Alligator mississippiensis: one gene and its partner. The protein of the gene in region 2 interacts with the protein of the main gene of each other region in a pairwise test. Links are inferred from orthologs where the notes say so. Each region holds a gene or a part of one and is shown on either strand. Other genes may lie near its edges.

Region 1 (11,364 bases), on a different chromosome or scaffold from region 2:
TCGGGCTTTCCTGGGGTGGGTGGGGGCTCCTTTCAACCCACCGGAGGGGAAGGGGTGCGGGAGGGGGCAGCATAATTACCCCGGCGAGCGGCGGGACCCAGGCGTCCGGGCTGGGAGGCTTCAAGCGCTCCGTGGCTCGCAGGACCCGGGCGTCGGAGTGATGGGCAGGGAGGGAAGGAGGCTCCTTTTGTCCCGGGCGGGGCTCGGGGGTTCCGGACCGCGGGGCAGACGGAACCAGGCGCCCGCCCCGCGCCGGGCAGGCAGGCAGGGAAGGAGGGAGGCGGGGAGGGGGTTCCCGGTCGCGGGAGTTTCGCGGAACCGGCGTGGGGGTGGGGGCAGCCCCGGGGACCCAGGCGTCCGGGGGCGGGCGCCGCGCGGCTGGGCGGGCCCCGATCCGGGGGGCCCCGATCCGCCGGGGCGGGCGCTGCCGCCGCCGCCGCCGCCTCCGCCGGGTCTTTGTGTGTGAAGGCGCGGGGAGACAATGCGGGGCGGGGCGGGCGGGCGGGGGGCGCCGCGGGATTCCTGCACAGCGCCCACGGGCAGCGGCCGCGGCGGGCAGAGGCCGGCACGGATTGACTGCGCTCGACAGAGCCGGGCCCCAGCGCCCGCACCCGGGCAGGCAGGGATCTGCGGGGGGAGGCGGTGTCCTCCACACCCCCCGGCCTCCCCTCCACACCCCGCTCGTCCCCCTACGCGCGCGCGCACACACACACACACACACACACAGCCCCCCTACTTGTGCACCCCCAGCATCTCACACACCCCTCCAGCATCCCCTTACACACACACACCCTCGCGTCCTACACCCCCCACCCTCCTCCTATGCACATGCACACACACATACACACACCCCAGCATCCCCCTACACGCGCGCGCACACTTTCCTGTAGGGTTGGCAAGCTGGTCAACTGACCACATATTTTTTTGCCCAAAGATTATAGTGATTTTAGGAATATATATTTGTATGTTTCTTGATGGAAACAAGATTTTTTTTTACTGTTTTCTGACACACTTTATAATGGAAAATTTGTGGTTTTTCTGCATCGTATTTGGACCTGTTGACATTTCTGGGGGGTGTTTTTTGTTTTGTTTTCTTTTTTACAATAGTTGATGGATATTTGACAGGTCAATTAAACAAGCTGTATTTGACAGGTCAAATACCTAACTTTGCTTTGCTCCTTGTTCACGTGGTTCCCCAGCCAGACACGCGTGTCACACAGGCTCCTTACAGCCCCCACTCCCGCCCCTGGCTCTCCATCCAGGATGTGAGCTATGCACGGCCTGACCCACTGAGAGGGGAAGCCAAAGCCTAGGGCAGGCCTCAGCCCCCCTGTTCCCAGCAATGTCAGCTGAGGCCTGCTCTGCTTAGCTCTGACCACCAAGGGGTGGCCCCTGCCACATCTCCAGCCCTGCCTTTGTGGGAGCATTGCTATACACACAGACTCCAGCGGCCAAGCTGAGGGAACAGACACAGCATCACCTTCACACTGGCACCAGTGGGGAGACATGGGGTGTTGCTCTGGGAGAGTTCATGTAACAACACTCCCCCCCACCCCCCAAGAGAATAAGTGCTGATGGATATCCCAGGTGAAGGCTGGTACCAGCTTGTTCCACGGTACAATCATTTCTGAACTCTTCATGTGGGTAGCCTCAACACCTTGGGAAGTGCTTCACTCAGCTCTGTCCCACAGTACAGACACCTCCCATCCTAACACCCCCAGTTTCAGCTCTCTTCTTACCATCCCCTGGAGCATTAGCTCCAAAAGAGAAAGGAAAGAGGGTGATACTACACCCACAGTCAGTGCGGGTCCCTGGTACAATGTTCCTAGACTGCTATGCGGCGAACACTTGTCTTCCCTAGGGTAGCCCCTGCTGCTGTGTTGGCACAGTTCCTTAGTGAAAAAGTGTATGCCAACAGGACTTTTTCACGGCTGTAGAACAGGGTGGCACCAACCAGGCCTTGGTGCAGACACAGCTCCACCAGCAAAGACATGTTTTCTGCTGCGCACCGTGAGCTGGTGAGTCAGCATCTCCGGCAGAGCTGCTGGTGGCACAGCTCTGCCCATCAGGGGTCACATCCTGGACTGACTCAGCCTTGCCAAAGAAAGGTTGCAATGGGGACAGAGTGGCAGGTGGGGAAGTAGAGGACGGGGCAGGGGGGAAGTCACACAAAAACACTGATGGGGGAAGGAGGGAGACTGATCTGGGAGTAGGGAAAAGGGGTCCCAGGGATACAGGTGGGTATGGAGAGGGAACATTAGGGTAGCATGGGCAAGCTGCCCCATGACCCCGTGTGTGTAATGCCTTTGGCTGACCAGAACAGGGTGCAGTACCCAGTGCCTGGCATCTCTGTGGCAGCAATGCCCTCTAGTGGGAAGAACAGCAACAGCTCATGTGCTTGTAAAGATGTGCTGACAGGCAGGAGCTAAATTTCCCTCCTTCCTTAGTGCCAAGATGATGCTTTGGGAATAGGAGGACCCGAACTTTCTGCCCCAAGCTCCCTACCACGTCTAACAGCCCAGATGAAAAGCATGCAATCAAGAGATGGATACCCCAGACACTTTCATTCCAGGTATATTGCAGAGAGTGAGACAGAGCACTGCGATACGGCTTGCTGGCTGCATACCCAAGTGTTGCCCTAAGCCAGGCACCACCACCCTCCCTGAGCTGCGGAGAGAACCCAGGAGTCCTGCCCCATGCTGTGCTACCCGTCTCACAGAAACATGTTTGTAAATGCAATAATTCTCTTTAGTTATTTATTTGTTTGTTTGTTTTAAACTAGCCTTTTCCCAGATCACTCAAAAACCCAAGATACAAAAATACTTTATCAGCTTCAGGTTCAAAACAAAACAAAACAAAAGAACCAAAAAAACCCCCACATGCACAAAAAGGCAGCGTTAAAAATAGAGGTTCTTCATTAAGGCATCGATTAAGGTTGGGGTTGCTTTCCTGAGTCAGAAATAGGACCCAGGTATCCTGAATCCCAGCTCAGCCTCTGCTCTACCCACAGGACCCCCTTCCTGAGTGCTGGTGATGGAACTCAGGGGTCCTGATGCTCAGCCCCTCTGCTCTAACCCATCGGACACCATTCCTCTCCAAGACGGGGCCCAGGGATTCTGGTGGACCCAAAATGTCCCAATCCCCATAATGAATTAAGCATTAAGCTAGAACACTTGCATTAAGCTAGGAGACCTGAACATCAGCAGGCTTTGGATTTTGTGGCACAGTTCCTAGCTAACTTTTAATAGGAGCCTGGCACTCACTGCAGGGAAGAGGCCCTATGTCCTGATCCCCATGTCTTGACTCCCCTGCTCTCCCCACACCTTCAATGCATCCACTGGCCACTGAAGTGTGGGAGGTCAGAGCCAAGGCCCCAGAAAGGGATGGACTTCCCTTCCTATTAATCATCCCTCCTTTCCAGCTCATCTTCATATCACTCGAGCCATTTTTTTGCCTTGTACCTAAATACAGAAGAAACAGTACCCTACTTTCATTTTTAGAAACCATTTTTCAAGACTTTTGCAGCAGAGATTGGCGACACGTCCATCACTATGGGGAAGGCAGTAGGGAAGAGCCCAGGAGTCCTGATTTCAAATGCCTCTGAAACTATTAAACCCAGGGCTCAAAATAGAAGGCAGGAATCCTGACTCTGGACCTCCCCACTGTAACCCAGACTTTACTCCCCTCTCAGAGCCAGGAATTGAACTTAAGGACCCTATGAAAGAAGAGTGTTACAATGGGGGAGGGAGGAGAGAGACCAACCTCTACCGAGCTCTGTAAGGCCAACGGTATCTAGAAAGTGGAGCTGGGCAAGTGGGCTGGGAGCCTGGACTCATGGGTTCTACTGCAGCTCTGGGAAGGAAGAGTGTTCCAGTGGGTCACAGCATGGGGAAGGGAGCCTAGACTCCAAGGTTGCTTTTGCAGGCAGCTGTGACTTCTAGGGACTCAGGAGAGATCCTAACACTACAGTACTAAGTGCAGAGCTAAGGGCATCAGTGCTTGGCAAGGTGGGGGGTGGGGAAGGGCACCACTGCGCCAGACCTCCCCCTAGGTAAAAGCCATCCAGCAGGGTCCTGCTCCCACTCAGCTCTCCTTGCTCAAGACAGGGCCGTTGCGGGCCAGCAGGTCCCCATAGGCAGCTTCCTCACGGGAGAAGACCTGGAACTTCTTATCAAGCTGGGCACGGAGGTAGAGGTAGTCCTGTTGGTCCAGGCTGTGCCCGCAGGTCATGTAGGCGGTGAAGAGGGTGGCCAGCAGGAGGCGGTCCAGGGAGAGGCAGGGCACGGCCCACAGGATGAGGAGAAACTCCAGGTACACGGGGTGGCGCAGGTGGGAGTAGAGCCGCACGGCACGCACCGACTTCAAAGCCAGGGGGTCACCCATGCCCAGGCAGTGGTAATAGACCTGCGGCAGGGCACGGCACGGCATGAGGGCAAAGCAGGTTGGAGCCGAGAGAGGAAAGCCCCCAAGACTGCCCCCCGCGAGCCCAGGCAGTGGTAACAGACCTGGGGCAGGGGACCTGCAGCAGGTTGGAGCCAAGAGGGGAAAGACCCCAAGACTCCTTCCTCCCCCTTTCCACCCCCCCAAGCTAATCCCAGTCCCTGAGCCCCTGGATCCTCCTCCCTCCACCCAGTACCTGCTTGACCCCCATGAGCTCGGCGTAGTCGAAGATGAGGATGATGCTGAAGATGATGAGCCAGGCCACGAAGTGCAGGATGAAGCAGGCCAGCAGCACCCAGGTGGCCCAGGGCTCCGAGCGGGAGGCGTCCCACAGCAGCGGCCCGTCCCGCACCGGCTGCCAGCACCGCATCAGCACCTGCGGGCGCCCGCTCTGCTCAGCCCGGCCCGGCCCGGCCCGGCCCGGCCCCGCCGCGCCCCGCCCCGCCCCGCCCGGTACCTGGAGCGCCAGCGCGGTGCAGCACACGTAGCAGGAGCGGTGCAGCACGCCGAGGCAGCGCGCGGCCCAGCGCTTGGCCGGCGCCGAGGCCATGAGCCAGTGCTGCAGCACGAAGAGCGCCACGAGCCCCAGATCGGCCGCCAGCGCCCGCAGCACGCGCGGGTCCCGCAGCGCCGCCGCCCACTCGCGCCCGGCCGTCGGCTCTGCACGGGGCGGCAGCGGGGTGAGCGCGGCCGCCCCGGGGCTCGCTCGCCCCCCCGCCCCGCCCCCAGCCCCGCTCCCCGCCCTACCCGGCCGCGCCCCGCCGGGCAGCACGGCGCGCAGCGACACGAAGCGAACCAGCTCCACGCCGGTGCCGAAGGCGAAGAGGAAGCTGCCCAGGGCCGGGACCACGAGCAGCAGCGCGGGCGCCATGGCGCGGGCACCGGGGCGGGGACTCCCGACTCGCGCCTCCAGCCAGCGCCGCCCTGCTGGGGAGGGGCTTTCCCCGGGGCTCCCCTGTGACGCGACTTCTCCTAGGGCCCGCCCCCAGGTGGGAGGAGCTCCCGCAGTGGGCGGGGCTCTGCGGATGCTCCATTCTCCTGTCTCTCGCTGGGGTCTCGCCAGCTCCGCAGCCCTGCCCCGGGGTCTCCCATCCCGCCCCGCCCGGAGCTCCCTCCAGCCACCGGCCCCTGCTCCCTCTTCTAGGGTCCCCCCGCTCAAGGCTGCCCCGGGCTGCTCCCTCTTTCCCCCAGAGTCCCAGGATTTTTGCCCCTGGACCCTGCAGACCCCACACCCCACCCGCGCAGGGCAGCCTTCCCTCCCCCAGGGATTACCCCACCTCCAGCTCCGCGGGAAGGGCTGTCCCAAGGGTCTCTTAAGCCCCTCCTAGGTCTCCCACCCACACATCTTATTTTTTTATGAATGTGTTTCGTGTTCCAGATCGAATCAGTTCCAAATCATATCATAGTGTCATAGAAAGGGTAGGAGGGGACCTCAGGGGGTCATCGTGGTTCTCAACCCGTGGGTCCTGACCCAAAAGTGGGTTGCAAGAATATTTCAATCAAAGGGTCATGAGTAAGTGCCAGAAAATCATGCAAAAGCATGGGTTTACCCTTGTAGGCTGCAAGGGGCTGCTTGAGGCATGGCTAGCATGCAGCCAGGCACAGTCATACAAGCAGCCCTAGCAGCTGGATGAAGGTAAGTGCATGGGGCGTGGGGGTTGGAGGGCCAGGGCTTGGGGACTGTCGGGGTGTGGAGGGGATGGGTGTTGGGGAGAGGTACCTGCTGGCACTGGGGGATGGTGGCTGAGTGCCCGGGCACCAAGGCTGCAGCAGGGCAGGGGGGGCAGGGCACTGTGGGTCGGGCAATAGCAGGGCTGGGGGATGTGGGTCTGGACAAGCCATCAATCTTTGCAAATGGGTCCCAATACGAAAGAACCACTGTTCTAGTCCAACCAACTGCTCAAAGCAGGACCAGCTCCAACTAGATCATCTCAGCCAAAGCTTTATCTAGCCGGGTTTGAAAACCACCAAGGATGGAGCTTCCACCACCTCTCCGGGTAACCTGTGAGTAGAACTCGATTGAGTAGAATTCAATTGTTCCAAAAAACATATTGATTGAGCAGGCAGCACTTGATCATTCTAGATGCCATGTATGGTGCTACAACCCCCGAGCATCCTCCATCCCAGGCTCTCACCCTGGGACTTCAGATATTTCCAAATCCATTGGTATGCATCCTACAAAGCCCGGAGGTCTTAGTGTTCAGATGCCCCCACCAAGACACTTGATCTGAGCCAAAAGTCTCCCACCCACACATGAGATGCCCTCCACAGCGTCATATCCTCCGTCTCCAGTGCTTCTGCAGAGACTGGCCTCATCATCCCGCACTTGAAGCCCCCAAATTCTGTTCCCCAATATGAGGGGATGCCCCCAGAGCTCCTCATTCGGATGCCTATGGTGCCCCCTCCCCAATGCCAAGGGCTTCTCCAGGTGTTACCAAATTTGCCCATTACTTTGGGGTGTGCTCATTTATTAAAGAATAGTTTCTAGGGTCTTGGTGATTCTGTCAATGTGCTGCTTGTGTTACTATACGGAGCTGTCTCTCTCCCTTCTGCAAGCCCTCACCCCCAGTGGAGCTATCTTGCAGGACTCAATCTCAATGGGACTGGGTTCCTCCAGTCACCAAATCAGTCACACACACAAACACACACAAATTAATGTGACACGCCTGACCTGGCCGGGCTGATCAGCATGGACAGGCTGACACCCTCGTATGCCAAGAATCAGTTCATAAGAGCAACAATAAAATGCAGTCAAACACAAGCACACAGGTAAACAGAATCCCTCTGAATCCAGCTGGGTGTCCAGCTGACAACCTCATGGGCCAGCATTCAGTTCATAAGGGCACGTCTGAGTCAAACTGGGTCAATCAGCCTGTACAAGCTGATCCCCTTATGTGTTTCAAACTCAGCACGTCCCAATCTTTGGCCTCTGGATGAGCAGACCCCACAATAATTTAGGCTTCACAGGGATCTTTAGCATAGGTAAAAGAAGCGTTGCTGCAAAGCACGGGAGGAAAAAGAAGCAGAGAAGGAAAAATATACCCAATTACTACCAGTTTGCCTATAAAAGTTATTTATTGCTAAGCATATGAAATATATAATAGTACTAGTAGTAATAGACATGCTAAAGAAAAACAAACACAAACAATGACAATACTACTCTGGTTTCACTAAGTATTTGGGGAAACGTAGCTCAAGCTTAACTAATACAGTTCAGGTTCAGAAGTTTATGCCTAGACGGAAGAGAGAAAATGCTGGGATCTCACCTAGTCCACGGTACTCAGGCTGCAAAGCTGACAGGCACAGTCCGTAGCACAATCCTTGAAGAGAGAGACGATCTGTTCTTCCAGCGTCCCAAGAATGACAGGGGATGGTGTCAGCACAGGAGTTTTCTTCTTCTTTTCTTTTCCTCTTCTTCTCCTTTCCTCCTGCTGCTGCTTCTTTCTTTCTCTCTTTTTTTTCTCTTTTTAAGCACACACACTTACAGATTTTTATACCCTCAATTCAGCTGCTTCGAAGCACCCTCAGTAGTGTAAATCATTGTCTTTTCTATTGACAAAGGGTTAACTGGTTTGGACCATCTCAGGAAACTGATTGATAATCAGGAAACACTTAAGATTAGGGAGTAACCCAAATACTTGGGAGCCAGCTTGAGATTCCTCTGGATGGCAGATATACTGATGGGATATCTTATGGTTTCTTCAGGAACAATAGATAGCTTGCAGCATCAGGATTTGGGATTTTTACTTGTTGTGCACAAGCCTCAGCTTAGCATGACTTTTCCAGATCTAAAGCAATTATTGGGGTGCTCATAACCTTTTGTGGAGAGGACTTCCACCAGTCGTCTCGGGAAAGATACGACAACACCTGGGATTAGGGCTCCAGCAGGCTGGATGCTGTGATGAACCCTTAACCATTGTTCAAATGTTGCCCATACCCCCTCGGACTCGGTCTCTTGCCTCAGCATTCCCTAACCCGGCAACTGAGTTTTAGTCAATCAGGTTTAAATAGGCCTCCCATAGTGGGACCGGGGAATGTACGGCCCGAGATGCCTATTAAACTTAGAGCTGTGTGTGTGTGTGTCTGGGGGGAGAAAAGTCCTTAGCAAATCCAGATTAGAACGGGTCTGATAAATGCTGAGCTGGGTGTGTGTGAACATGGGTTGATTAACATTGGAAGCACAGATTCCCCATCATGCAGTGCTCTCCTGCTTCTCTGGTCCCAGAATTCACTGCAGTCTCTGCTTCAGGCTTTCTGTTTTCCATCTCTCATGTAAATGAATGGTCATCTGGTTCCATCTCGGATGTAAATGAGACCTAGGGCAGTTGTTCACTCTTATCACCCTTATCTGGAGAGTTTTAGGTGCGTCTCTCACTGCATCTTAATCAGTTTCGTTTAGGTAGAGGAGGGGAGGGAGGGGGTGAGTCCTTGTGAGTCAGACAGACTGCATCCTGTGCCAGGGTTGCCCAAGAACACAGAGCTGAGACGTAACACAGGGTCTGTCTGGTCTTTGTGCTGATCTGTTCCACTGTGACTGCCTTCTCCTCCCTCTGTAGTCCCAGAGCTGCTTGGGAGACACTGTCATTGCTCAGTATTACCAGGGCATGAACCACACTCAAGCCTGGCAGAATCCTGTCTCAGAAAGGACAATCTTGGAGGGCAGGCATGGATCTTGTGGCTAAAACTGAGCTGGATCTTTGGAGACCTGCATTTAGGTTCCAGCTTTGCCCCAGACCCATTCACTCTGCTTCAGGTTCTCTGCCTCTTCTCCAGAGTCTGTGCAGGGCCTGACACCTTGGGATTTTGGCTGGAACATTTAGGTGTAGTCATAATATAATGAGTAAGGAAAAAGTAGGGAGGGGTGAAGTTGTGCTATTAATCATCAGGAGCAATAGCTTTAATAAATAGGGATGCTGAGAGGCCTGAGACTGTGTAACTGCTAATAGAACTACTGTTTGGTTTTGTCCCTTTCATCTAAGGATCTCAAAGTGCTCTCAGAACAACAATTAATTAAATCCCTGAAAAAACTCATAGTAAAAGGGGATGTTATTGTCCTTGTTTTATAGATACAGGGCAAGTGGCTTGAAGAGGAAACAGAGCTAGGATAAAACCCAAGAGTCCCTCCTTCAGTTCCCTAGTCCTGCATATCTCCCATACCGCCAGTCTAACTCACTGAACACTGCTCCAGTCTTGGGACTGGGGACAGATCCCAAAAGTCATGGGTTTTCCCAGTCCACTACTCACCACTTTCTTCCCAGAGCTGGAGGCAGAACCCAGGAATCCTGACTCCCAGCCTCCTCTTCTCTTACCTCTAGATCAGTGGTTTTCAAACTGTGGTCCATGGACACCTGGAGGACTGCAGACTACATCTTAGGGGGTCCATGAAAGATGACTGATCAATCAAAAGTATGCAGATACCCCCATTTACAGTCCAAAGGGGTCCACACCTCCACTCAAAATTTCCAAGGAGTTCACACCTCCATTCAAAATGTTTAGGGGTCTGGAAATGGAAAAAGGTTGAAAACCACTGCTCTAGACCAGGGGTGTGAAACGTATGAAGCATTCCATCTGGCTCACCCTGGCAGTCCAGTAGGCTACTGGAAGTGCGGTAGAGCAGAATTCAATCCCAGTGGACATGACTATCGGTGGCAGCCCCTTAGTTCTGTACTGCTGCCCGAACACGGCTCTGTGCAGCTGCATGTCCCCAGCTCTGTGCTGCTGCCCTGCCTGAGCTGCCACATGACTCATGCTCCTCACTGACTCATGCTTCTGGCTTTGCGCTGCCCAAATGTGGCTCCATGCAGCTGCCTGGCCCCAAGCCCATGATGTTGCCTAAGCATAGGCCCAGGGGTCCAGCCTACGAGGAACCCTTGCAGTCTGGATATGGCCTGGAGCCTGGGGTAAGTTTGATACCCCTGCTCCACTCTCCTCCTAGACCTGGGAACAGAGCAGAGCCCTAGCCCCTGCTGTAATGACTACACTTTGCCCCAGTAATTTAGGCCTCTGGCAGACATGAAAAAAAATGTGTAAAACAGCAGTTTCAGAAGAGGCATTGCATCAGTTTGACCTGGCTTGTCCAGTGTTTGTATAGATTGCATGCTTCAGTGGGGCTTTTTGGTGCTTTTATCTAATAGCTGGTTCAATCAGCTATTACATAAAAATGCCAAAAAGCGCTGCTGAAGCACATGATCTATAAATAGGTTGGGTGAACTGGGTCAAACTGACTTGATACCTCTTCTGGGCCTGTCCTGCGCTTGACGTAGGGGCACACCAAGCTGAAAGTAAAGCACTGGGCTTTTTTTCATGTCTGTAAGCAGCCTTATAGGAGAAGGGCCTTGTAGGTAACAGTTGTAAGGTAACACTTGCTCTCTGCAATCTAGGAGGTCACATTTTATGGCTTCTGTTGTATCCCTCCTTTCCTTTCCCAAGCTCTATCCTTTTGGGGCACAGTTTCCTTGTGCCCCTACCCTCACTCCCCCCATGCCCATTAGGGGACCAAGATAGCCCCAATAAAGTCCTCCAACACCTTAATCTTTCTCTTCTTGCTGCAAGGTCAACACATTCCACCTGCTGGGACCTGGCAAAGCCAAGATGGGGTGGGGTAGCATCAGAGGGCATTCATCAGTGCCAGCTGACACCTGTTTGATCTGCAGATAATTGTAGAGCTGTTTGAAGCCACAACTGTGCCAAGCAGATGCCAAGCTCTCTGTGACCTCCATTTCTTTCTTTTAGGTTTCTAACCCCCCTCATCCTCCAAAATCAATGGGGTCCTGGCCAGGGAGACCTTGAACATAGCTTGAAATTGCAGAGTGGATCGGCTTTGGTGTTAAACATGGGCAGCCCTACACTTAGACAGCCATGCATGGCAGTGCTATCAAACTTAGGGGAAGGGCTGGCATGCACCTGGCCCATAGGCTCTGCCCT
Region 2 (11,552 bases):
CACTGCAGCTGCTGTTAAGCCCCTTGCTTGCTACAGCCACCCATCACTTCCTAGGCTGTGCTGCCTGGACTTGTTTGAGGGCCAGTAGACACTGTCCAGTGTCCCCCCTTGGAACTCTTATTTTGAACCAGCAACTCTCATTCCTGTTTTTTGTATTATTTGTCCCAAGGGATCTGTTGTCCCTTTTTCCTGTAGCTTCCCTGCCTGAAAGAGGGTAATAAGAAACTTGGTGGGTTGGGCCCACATGATTTTAAAGCAGGGGTATCCAACCTTTTTGAATGTGGGGCCAGATCACGAACTTTTTATTACCCAGTGGGCCAGCGAGCCATATTCAAAGACCTCACAGGAAGTGGTATCACATCAGGAAGTGATGTCACGTGACCTTTGACACCAATGAAGTTGCAAAATAAAACAATATAAAAGCAAGAATTAAATAATACCAAACACTTGACTAAAATAAACACTTTTGCTTCTACTCACTTCTCAATGAATGAAAGAAGCATAATGCAAGTCGACAGATCAAATGTGGAAAAGATATCAGCCAGAGTGGAAACTAATCAAAGCAACAAAATATGGGCTTTTTTAAGAATAATCTTCAAGAAGATTTACTTTTATTGAATTAATAACTTGTTAGTAACACATCTTTAGCCAGCAGTAACAAGTTGAACCCCCAGTCCCCAACAAAGAGAAACAGAAGCAAACACAATCCAAACACTAGACAATATTTTTACAGACCTAGTGCCCAGCCAGCCTGGTGCCATGCCTGGGTTGACATGGTGCTGCAGGAGCCACTTGGCTACAATCGGGTTGCCCTGGTGCTGGAGAAGCCAGGGGCCAGGCCGGGGTTGACCTGGGGCCCGCTTGGCCTGCCGGTGCCATACCCAGGTTGACATGGTGCTGCAGGACCTGCCTGGGAAGAACTGGGTCAGCACCGGCCAGGAAAAGCAGCATGCAGCTGAAGCCAGCTTCCCATGTGCTGCTGGGGACAGGAGGCCGGCCAGGTCTGCACCAGCCAGCAGAAGTGGCAGCGGAGCCATGTGTCGCTCAGGGCTGACCGGTGTAGGCTTGTCCTGTCCCAAGTGGCACATGGCTCAGCTGCCGCTTCTGCTGGCCGGTGCAGACCCAGCCGGGCTCGGAGAGCCGCAGTGTGGGTGGCTGGGCCCAGAGAGCTGCAGCGCCCGGGGGAGACTGGCCGGGGGAGCAGGCACCGCCTTGCTGTGGGGCAGGGCAGGGCAGAGCAGGAGGGCTGGCTTGAAGCAGGCGGGTGAGGAGACAGGCACAGGCCAGCAGTGCCAGCGGCCGCTGCTTGGCCTCCTGCGCGGGGCTGCTCCAGCAGCGCAGGGCACGGGCTCCTGTCGGGGCGGCGGGGACAGGAAAATGGGTGCTCCCAGACACGCACCCTCCCCACCAGCGACTGGCATGTCCCAGACCTGCAAGCGGAGCCGCTCCTCCGCCACCCAGCGGCAAAGTTCTCCCATGAAGGCTCTGTCCTGCGCCTGCCCCAAGCCCGCGGCACCGGCTCCTTGGGGCATGCAGGGCCACTCAGCAGCTGCAGCCAGCACCGCCCCTGGCTGGGGAGGGGTCCGGCCCTGTGAGGGACCTGGCCAGGCCATGCTGAAGTGGTGCATGGGGGAACCTTGTCCCTTCCCCAGCCCTTCAGCAGCCATTAGGAAGCTACTGAGGGGCTGGGGGAGGGACAAGGGGTGGGAACTAAAGTAAACCATGTTCACTTTTGCTTCCTGTCACAGCACCGCATGCCACAGAAAATGCCTTGGCGGGCTGCATGGCGGCCCACAGGCCGTACGCTGGACAAGCCTCTTTTAAAGTGTAACAAACAGGCCTGTCTGGCAGGGCTTGTCAACGCTTTGGCCCCCAGCTTCCCGCAGGCAGGTGTAGCCCCTCCTCTGTGGTGGGATGGGGCAGGTGCCAGCCCGGGGCTCGGCACCCCACTGATCTGACTTTGCAGAGCCACAGACTGAAAGCCCAGTGCCATAGCACCCATCCTTGTCTGGATGCAGTGCCTTCTGTTGCTGCAACTGTTGCACACACCCCACAGCCAGGGACCAGCAGGGGAAAGGTGGAAGTAAAATGGAACAGGGTGGTTCTCCCAGGCCTGTGGTTTAGCCCCATGAAACACTCCACTCACCTGCCTCCTCTGCACCCAAGCCCAGAGGACCCACCTGCCAGCCCAGCTCACTCAGGTGCAGCCCTTGGGAGGTCACTGAGCTGGGGGGCTGAAAGCACCCCACTGGTGCCAGGCTGGGCAGGGGTGCCCTGCAGACTGGGCCAGAACAGCTTCACATGGGCCAGGAAGGGGGTTGCCATAGCAAATAATCATTTAAGCATTGTAATAACAGGTTAAGCAGGTATTTTTTAATCAGTATTTATATCCCTAATATCACATGTGGATTAAAGTACTTGGTATCCCCATGATGGGGTGAAAGGAATCCATCTCCAGGAGAAAGGTGTTTGATAAGCAAACATCGGGGTTTTCCATTTCCCACATAAAAATGGAAAAAAACCACGGAATTCCTGATTTAATCAGAACACGTGGATTTTCCCTTTCAGCGGGGAAACCCATGGATTTCCCCCTTTTGTGAAGAGTTCTACAGGCTAGCTGAGTTCCAGCCTGCAAGAGCTGTTTGCAAGAGGGCAGGAAACCCCTAACCCTGCCCGGAGGGGGAGGGGGAAAGGGCAGGACCCAACACACTCACTTACCAGAGGCTACATCAGGATCACTCTTCTTCATTCCTGGAGGTGAGTGGGGCTTGGGGGTTGTGGGGCTTGAGAGGGGGGAAGCTGGCTGGGGGCTGAGGGAGCGAGGATGTGTCAGGGAAAGAAATGCAATGCCTGCTGCCTAACGGGCGCTCCTGGTGGGGCTTTCCCCAACACCTTCCACTCCCTCAGCCTGGGCAGGAAGGGAGATTGAGTTGGGGAACAGAGCGTGTCCCAGGGCACAGCGGCAGAGGTGTGAGGGGCACTGCCGCCCCCCCCACCTCAGCTCATTTTGTGCCTGCTCGCAGGAGCAGGGCCAGGGGAGTGAGGGCAGCAGCGTCCTTCTGTGAGCCACAGTCTGGGGGAGCTCACACGGAGCACCCGCCACCGCTGCACCTTGCACCACTTGCCCGCAGCCAGAAAGCCGCACAGGGATGTGCTGGTAGCCACCGTGTGTGAGCCCCACCCGGCCAAGCAGGCATGTGGGGCCCGCAGAAGGGCACTACTGCCCTCACCCTTGCTCTGGGCAAGTGATGTGGGGCACAGCAGCGGCAGTGCAGCAGTGCTGGCGGCCGCCACAGTGTGCAACCAAAAATGCAGTGTGGGGGCAGAGGCCAGGGGCAGTGCAATGCCAGCCACTAGCAGCAGCATGGTGGCAGCCACCCTGTGCCAGCACCATTGCACCGCTGCCACCATACTGGTTGCCCGGAGCAGGGTCAGGGGGACCAGGCCAGCGGTGACCCTCTGTGAGCTGCACATGGCTGCCCTGGAGAGGACGGAGGGCTCGCACGCAGCAGCTGCCACCATATCCCATGTGGCTTTCCAGCTGCGGGCAACAGGTGCAAGGTGTAGCGGTGCAGTGGTAGTCCGTGTGTGGCCCCCCCGAGCCAGGCGGTGCACATATGGGCCACAGAGAGGGACCACTGCACTCCCCCCTCCCCCCCCCCAGCCCTGCTCCTGGGAGTGGGCACAGTGAGCCAAGGTGGGGGGGAGGGGGGCACTACGGTGTGTCGCGTGGGGCTGGCAGTGCCCCTCACCCCTCCGTTGTTGCACCCTGGGGCACGCTCTATTCCCATCTCCCCCCACATGTTCATCTGCCCAGGGCTGAGGGAGAGGAAGGTGCGGGGGAAACCTGCACCAGGAGTGCCCACCAGCCAGCAGGCACTCCATGTCTTCTCCCAACACATCCTCGCTCCCTCAGCCCCCAGCCCCTTCCCCACCAGAGGCGGTAGTGTGGGGGGCTGCTGCATGCGAGCTTCCCCCCCACCCTGACTGGGCGGTGCATGTGTGGCCTACCCTCATCCCGCCCTCCGGGAACATGCAGAGATGCACCTCTCCTCCCTCCATTCTCAATCTGCACCCCCAACCCTTTCCTTTCCCCCCCATCCTCCCCCACACCTAACCTGCTAGGGTGTGTGTGTGTATTTGTCTGTGTGTCTGTGCCTTTGTGGGAGACTGGGGGGCTGTTGTGGGTGGAGTAGTGGGCACGAGCAGGACTGGGGAGGCTGTGTGGGGGAGTGAGGAGCACTAGCAGGGTGGGGGGGGACTTTAATTTTTATCACGGATTTTGGGTTTTTTAAACAGATAATTTGTGACTTTTTACCAGGGAAAACCAGGATCTGTGCTGACAAGGCAACAGTTTCAGGGCTTCTGCTGTCACCTTCATGGATGAGGAAGAATTGAGCACACCCCTCCCACATGCAATACTTTCTGGCTTCTGCTTTTGGGGGGGGGGGGGTTGGTCTTTTCCTTTTCACCACACCTAGAAGCCAACAGCCAGTTTCGCCACTGGTGCACTGGTGTTCCCTTTCAAAAGCACTCAGGTGCTTGGCTGGAAGGACTTGCTTACTTATTCAGACTCTAATCTAACAGCCAGATTTGGGGTCAAAAAGGGATTTCTGCCCCCTCCGGGTCACACTGGCAAGGTTTGTTTTTTCCCCCACTTCCTTCCTCATGCAAGGGGTGATGCGCCCCTTACATAAACATATGCTCATAATCAGTGAAACCTAATTAAGCTGGTGGAGGGGCGGGCACAAGGTGGCTCACCAGCTGGATCCAGCCGGGCAAATGACTGGATCCAGCTCCCAGGCGGGCGCCCACCAGTCGGCCGGATCCAGTCTGTGGCCACCCCGTTGCCCTCCGCACCGTCTCCGACTCGGGAGACTCGGACGCCCCGAGAAGATGCCAGCTCTTGGCCGTGCCCCCGCCACGGGCAGCCATTATCCCCGGACAGCGCGGGGCACGGGGGAAGCCGCCTGCGCGGCGCCAGTGACAGTCCGTGGATGCGGGGCCCACGCCCCACTTAATGCTGGAGCCTCTTCCCCGCATGCATCCCTTCGCCTCGCCGCGCCGCGCCGCGCCGCCCCCGGAGCCGGGCACTCACCAGCCCGCGCGGACTCGTCCGTCTCCCGCCGCCTACAGCAGCCCTCTGCGGCCGGGGGCGGACAGGCAGAGGCCGCAGACCCCCGCGCGCATGCGCCGCTGCAGCCAACCGCCGCGGAACGCGCAGTTTGAAAGTAAACGGCAGGCTCCAACTGCCACTTTCGAACTTCGGCTCGTGGCCACCAACGGTCCCGCCGGCCTCGTCACCGCGCGCGGAAGCGCATTCTCTCCCTCCGACATAAAAGGCGAAACCTTGGCTCGGCTGATGCGAATGCGGACAGGCCGAGTGCAGGCTCCCCTCCCTGAGCGCCGAGGGGCTGCCTTCAGGTGGTCTGCAGGGTCCGCTGGGAGCGGAGCACAACTGAAGCAAGGGCTTCAGGGCTTTTCCCTCAGACTCCTCTCTCAGTTAAGTCACGCAGTTACAGTGCACATGAAAAAGGAGAAAGCACGCATCCTCTCATCTCTTGCAGTAGTCGTACCCCTGCGGTTACAGCAGGAAACTGGCCAGAGTAAGAGGACCGGGTAGTAAAATCTCTCGCCAACTTATTCTTGTGTTTCTATCGCTACTAACACTGGCAGAGATGCACCGTAGATCCTAAATTCAAGGAATCTATTGAATATTCATAAAGTTACGTGCATTTCCAACTGCTAGTGATTTTGCAGTTTTCTAATACTAGTCCTGTACAAACTGATGACTTGCTGGAGTAAAATTAAAATTACAATTTATGAGAAATTTATGACTCCTGATAAATACACTTAAGAGCCTTTAAAGTAACATAGGAAATGGCCCACAGCTCCATACACTGCAGCTATTTGTATTTATCACATAAAATCAGGGCTCCACCTGAAAAGTATCAAGGCAACCATCAGTGATATCATCAAGCAAGTAGGATTAAACCTGTAAATTTAAACAAGGACTTTCACGTACAAGCACGCTATCTAGTATAGTTTTACAATGATGAAGTAACTTACTTATGCCCAGGGAGAGGAAACTGGTGAACTAATTTGCTGATGCCACTACAGTCAGTTACTAAACCCTGATCTGCTGTTCACTGTCAATAAAGAAACCCAAGGCAAAACAAAATGGAACAAATACAGAGCTGGTCTATTTGGATTTCGTTTCCCCAGGTAACTGCCTTACAGGAAAATGCTCTCTATGGATTTTCATTTGCGTTAAGGGTAAAAATTAATCTCAGTAGTGAAGACCAGTACAAAAGTAAAGATGTTTTGCCACCTGCTTTTATCATCTGCAAATGGAAGTAAGATCAGACTTATACCAGTTACTAATCTTTAGGGACTGAAAATCAACTGGAAGTATTCAGCATTTTCACAAATTCCAGACAGTTGAAAATCTTTTTCATTAAATGAGGGAGGGTCAACAAATCATCAGAGAAATTATCAAAAAATGATCAAAGAAATCATTCTTGACAGGCTAACAGAAGGCTACATGTTGCAGGTAGGTCTTGCCTGACCAATCTCATTTCCTTCTATGACCAGGTGACGTATCATCTGGACAAAAGGGAACAGGTTGATATTATACATTTGGACTTTAAAAAAGGGGTGGACTTGGTGCCAGCCTATAAGTATATTGGGGTGTTCATCAGGATCTGGGGGAACATCTGTTCACCAGAGCACCCCAGATGATGACAAGGTCCAATGGTCACAAACTCCTGCAAGACTGTTTCAGGCTGGACATAAGGAAAAGCTTCTTTACTGTCTGAGCTTCCAAGGCCTGGAACAGACTCCCCACAGAGGTGGTGCAAGGACCTACTCTGGGCACTTTTAAGGAACAAAAATGTATCCTTTTGGATGCTTATCTTGCTGGGATCCCTTGACCCTAGCTGACTTCCTACCCTTTGGGCAGGGGGTTGGACTTAATGATCTTACGAAGTCCCTTCCAGCCCTAATGTCTATGAATCTATGAACAAGGATTTGAAGAGAATTCAGTCTAGGACCAGGAAGGCTCTGACTGCAATGTGGGACTTGAAGGCTGTGGAATTGAAATGGAAGATCCAGAACATCTCCGCTCTGGGATACCAGGTGGGAAAAACAGAGTTTGCAAGTATTAGAAAGTGGACGCATTGAGGGATTTCGTGGCTGGCATTGTGATCTACCATCTGTTACACTGATAATCCTAAAAACATTATAGGTCAAATACCCAGTGGTGTGTACATTTTCCACATAGACACGATTATGTTGGTTTATTTATAATTTGTCAAGTCACGGGAATAAAAATTCAAACACATTCTTAGACACTAATATTATGGCAGCCTTAAAAAAGTCAGCAAATCATATTACTTACAGTGCAATGGCAAATTAATATTAAGAGTCTCATCATTCCAAAATACTTAAACATCTGCCTTGGATAATACAAAACTAATATTTTAAAAGGTCTTCTATAAGCATAACATCTTTCTCTCTTGTGTTTCACTCAATTAACCCTGCAGTTTTGCCGATACAAAAATATGAATTTTCCTCAAAGGTAGGTAGCAAAAGATATTTTTCTTCCTGTGAATTTAATGCTTACAGAGGCTCTCATAATAAAATTATTTTTACATAATAGATTAAATATTATTTGTCTCACAGCTCCTACTCTGAGTGGATTTACCTTTGTGGATGAGAGTTGGTGAACCTCCTCCATACCTGCTCAGTTGTTAGTCTGTTCAGATTGCCAATTCAGGCTAATTATGGCAGCAGACCTTGTAATATACAAATGCCCAGCTAACGAACTGAACTAAAATCAAACTCATTCCTACAGAGCACTGATCCTCTATCAGATCATAATGATTTCTGGTCACTGTTGATCTGAAGTGGATTTTAAGTAAATTTGATTACTACTAACCTGATTTGGATTATGACAACTGAAACCAGAGACCTGGATGTGAACAATACTGTAACCCATTCAGTAACAGGAATTTTTTTCATGTAAAAGGCTGCCAAACAACATCTTTTTTTTAAAAGTGATGTTGAATAAAAAACGATTAAGCTGGTAATTCCACAAATAAATGGTAACTGCAAAGCTTTCTTTTTAATTTTATCTACACTAGGTTTTTTTAGCTGCATGTGCTGCTTACAAGAATTTAAACCTGTGTCCTTGTAACCATCAGGCAAGGTCAGGCTGTACCTTGGAGGATGTTTCTACAGGCAGAGCAAAGGTTAAAACCGGCCCCCTCCCCTAGTTTACTAACAAAATGAAGAAGGGACAAAAGCCCGCAGGGTCCTTCAGGCAGACGCATCTCCTTTTAGGGGATTTATTTACCAAGCAAACCTTGCGCCTGGCCCCGGCCCCGGGGAAGTCGCGGATTTGCCTGCAGCCCGTCCCCGTCCCGCCCCGCGCAGCGGCAGCAGGTTGTTCCCCCTTCCCCCTTTTTAGCATTGCCTCCGCCCGGGCCATCGGAGCACGGCCTCGGCGCGGCGGGGGCGGGGCACAGCTGCCCGGAGCCGACTCTCCTCCGCCCTCCCTGCCCCGGGTCCATGGAGGTGGAGGGCCCCGAGGATCCGGGCCGCCTCCTCCGGGGCCTGGCGGGCAGCAGGCGGACGGGCAGCCTGGCAGCGGTCGTGGCCCAAGCCTTGGCCGTCGGGCTGATGTTCCTGGCCGGGGCCTACCCCAGCTGGGTCCTGGTCAGCGGCGACGAGGTGCAGTTCGTGCTGGGAGCAGTGTGGGCCCTTAACCCCATAGCTCCCCCTCCCGACTCGCCTCTCCTGGGCCCGGCCGGGGTGCCCCTCATCCTGTCCATAGCGATCTGCTGCCTCGTCGCCATCCTCAGCGGCTGCAGCGCCCTGCTGCTGGACTTCCTGGGCCTGCAGCAAGCCTGCGCTGCCGCCCCGTTCCTGCACGGCCTGGCCGCGCTGCTCGCCCTGGGCGCGGCGGCGCTGTGCTCCTGCCTCTTCGAGGTGACGCGCAGCAGGCTGCAGACGGAGAAGGAACTGCAGCCCCTTCGCCTCACCTCCACCTTCGGGCCCAGCTTCTTCATGTGCATCCTGGCCTGCGCCCTAGCGGCCGCCGCCACCGGCTTCAGCTGCAGCGCTTCGGCCCGCCTCGTGACTTCGGTACACTCCCAGGCGGGCAGGCGCGGGAGGAGGGGGCCGCCGCTCGTCAGGCCCCGCGAGGACGAGGTGCTCGACTCGCAGGTCGTCTTGCCCCACTGCAGGGAGGGAGAGATCCCGGTGGGCGAGAAGCGCCGCATTCAGACAGTGTGAGGCTGCCCCGTGGCGAGGAGCCGCTCACTCGCACCGCGTGAGGCGAGCTCAGGGGCTGCCCCTCCACCAAGGGTGAGGCTGATGGGCTTCAGGTTCTCCTTTCCCGAGGTAAGGAGCTCATCCAAGTGGCAGGAAACTTCCCTTTCGTAGAAAGAGACGAAACCCCAAAGGCAGCCCATTATGCTGTTTGCTTTCATTGAAGAGGAAACTGAAGTCCTTATGGATGAAAGTCTCCCATTCACGTAGGGGAAAAACAGAAACCCAAGTGTCCCAGAGTCTCCCCTTTACAGAGAAACTGAACCCCAGGCAAAGGAAGATCTGGCCATTAGACAACACAGAACTGAACCTGGGATGGTGATTTTTTTTCCTCACCAGAGAAAAAGAACTTCAACAAAGGGATCTAAAAACTGTTTCTTAAGAAGTGGGGAAAAAAATACCAAGTCTGAGGCAAGCTTCTCCAGTCAAGTTCAGATTCACTTTGTGTAAGATTTCAACTAGCTACTTAGGATTGATCCGTCACGGAGCTCCCACTGGTCCCATTTCCAGACTTGATAGGGCTGCCTACATCTTCCGAATGTTAGAGGAGTGTTGAGAGGCTGTTTTTTGGAATTGCCTTATATATATAAAAAACAAATAAATATTTTTTTCTTTCATAGACATGTTGCAGTTCTTTGAGATGTGTGAATACATGGTGTGTGCGCTCCACGTGCCTACGAGCAGGCATTTTACTAGCAGTGTCCATTTGATCTGTGCTTGTAAACAAGTTATCCTCATGCACAGATCCACATTAAGCAGTGTCATACTAACTACCCAAGGAATTAGCCACTTGGTTCATGAGGAGGGAAAAGTTAAGCTATGGTAATAGGCAAAGTGGTCATTACCTAATAATTCCTCTTCAAAAAATAGGTTAGTTGCACAGTCCAACTAAGTCTCAGGATCATATGGGCTAGTACATTTATATCTTGGTCTCCTAAGGAACAAGGATGTATATGGTAAACTTACTGTCCCTGCTAGCAGTATCCTCAAACATGCACTGTCTGCTAAACTGGAAGCAGTATCAACTAGCTGCATGGATGGGCTAATTGGCAGCATCACGCAGCAGAATCACTCTTTGCTGACTTTACAATTCCAAATTTCAAGCTGAGCATTCCTGGTGAAACATGAGTTCGTTATTAGAGCATATTTATAGGGTTGCTGACAATTGCCTTAAAGTTGCCGGAAACAGTTTATGTTCCTTATAAGATTTCAACTAGTGACAAGATCTCCTTTGCAGAGGACTCTAGAAGTGGCTGGTGCCATTTTGTTGTCTTAGGTCACCCCCCAGCAATTGGGACAATCTTCTTAGTTGCAAAACTTGAGATTCCAGGAAAAATGCATTTTTTATTGGAAGGCAATAACGAATTCAGTGAAAAGGCTCTCTCTACACACTGAAGGTTGTCCAGACCATTCATTGTTCCTCATAAAACTTACATGGAATCAAGTTAGGGTTGGAAGGAACCTCAGTAGGTCATCTAGTCCAACCCCTGCTCACCACAAGACCATCCCCAACTATATAATCCCAGCCAAGCCTTTGTCCAGCTCAATCTTAAAAACTTCCAAGGATGGAGATTCCATAACCTTTCTGGGTACCCTCCTTGTGAGAGAGTTTTTCCTAATACCTAACCTCAAACTTCCCTTGGTGCAATCTGAGACCACTGCTTCTTTTTCTGTCATCTGCCACGACTGAGAATGGTCTAGCTCAGGAGTCGGCAACCCCCAGGATGCATGCTAAGCATGTCATGTGAGGCCATTTTCCTTGGCATATGTTGGGGCCAGGGAGGCAGCAGCTGTTTGCAGCCTCCTGGCTGCAGCTGGCTCCAACTCTGGGTAGCTGCTCCCAGCAGGCAGCTGGGATGCTGCAAGCCCTGCTGGGAGCAGCCAGGGCTCTGTGGCTACCAGCAGCTACCCAGAGCCAGGGTTGGCTACAGCCTAGAGGCTACAAACAGCTGCTACCTCCCCAGCCCTGGCCCCAACGGGCACAGTGTCAGCACCTGCTGCCTGCCTGGGGCCGGGAGGCAGCAGCTGTTCGTAGCCTCCCGGCTGCAGCCAGCTCTGGCTCTGGGTAGCTGCTGATAGCCACAGAGCCCAGGCTGCTCCCATGGAAGCCCTGCTGCAAGCAGCCCAGGCTCTGTGGCTGTCAGCAGTTACCCAAAACCTGGGCCAGCTGCAAACATCTGCTGCCTCTCTGCCCCCGCCCCAGACCCAGGCAGCACACA

The links.
Region 1: the proteins of TRIM59 (region 2) and NRM interact in binary tests that used the Homo sapiens proteins (3 or more experiments, as listed by UniProt). The two-hybrid records come from large-scale screens. The link is inferred for Alligator mississippiensis from reciprocal best matches to the Homo sapiens genes TRIM59 and NRM.

Annotation. Positions count from the first base shown.
Region 1 is NC_081834.1:53,463,748-53,475,111, reverse strand, and holds NRM (nurim), read right to left. Parts: upstream 5,354-11,364; 5' UTR 5,312-5,353; coding exon 5,188-5,311; intron 5,101-5,187; coding exon 4,898-5,100; intron 4,817-4,897; coding exon 4,637-4,816; intron 4,405-4,636; coding exon 4,084-4,404; 3' UTR 2,743-4,083; downstream 1-2,742.
Region 2 is NC_081830.1:68,582,830-68,594,381, forward strand, and holds the start of TRIM59 (tripartite motif-containing protein 59), read right to left. Parts: upstream 5,205-11,552; 5' UTR 5,099-5,204; intron 1-5,098. UniProt on the Homo sapiens protein: E3 ubiquitin ligase involved in different processes such as development and immune response. Serves as a negative regulator for innate immune signaling pathways by suppressing RLR-induced activation of IRF3/7 and NF-kappa-B via interaction with adapter ECSIT.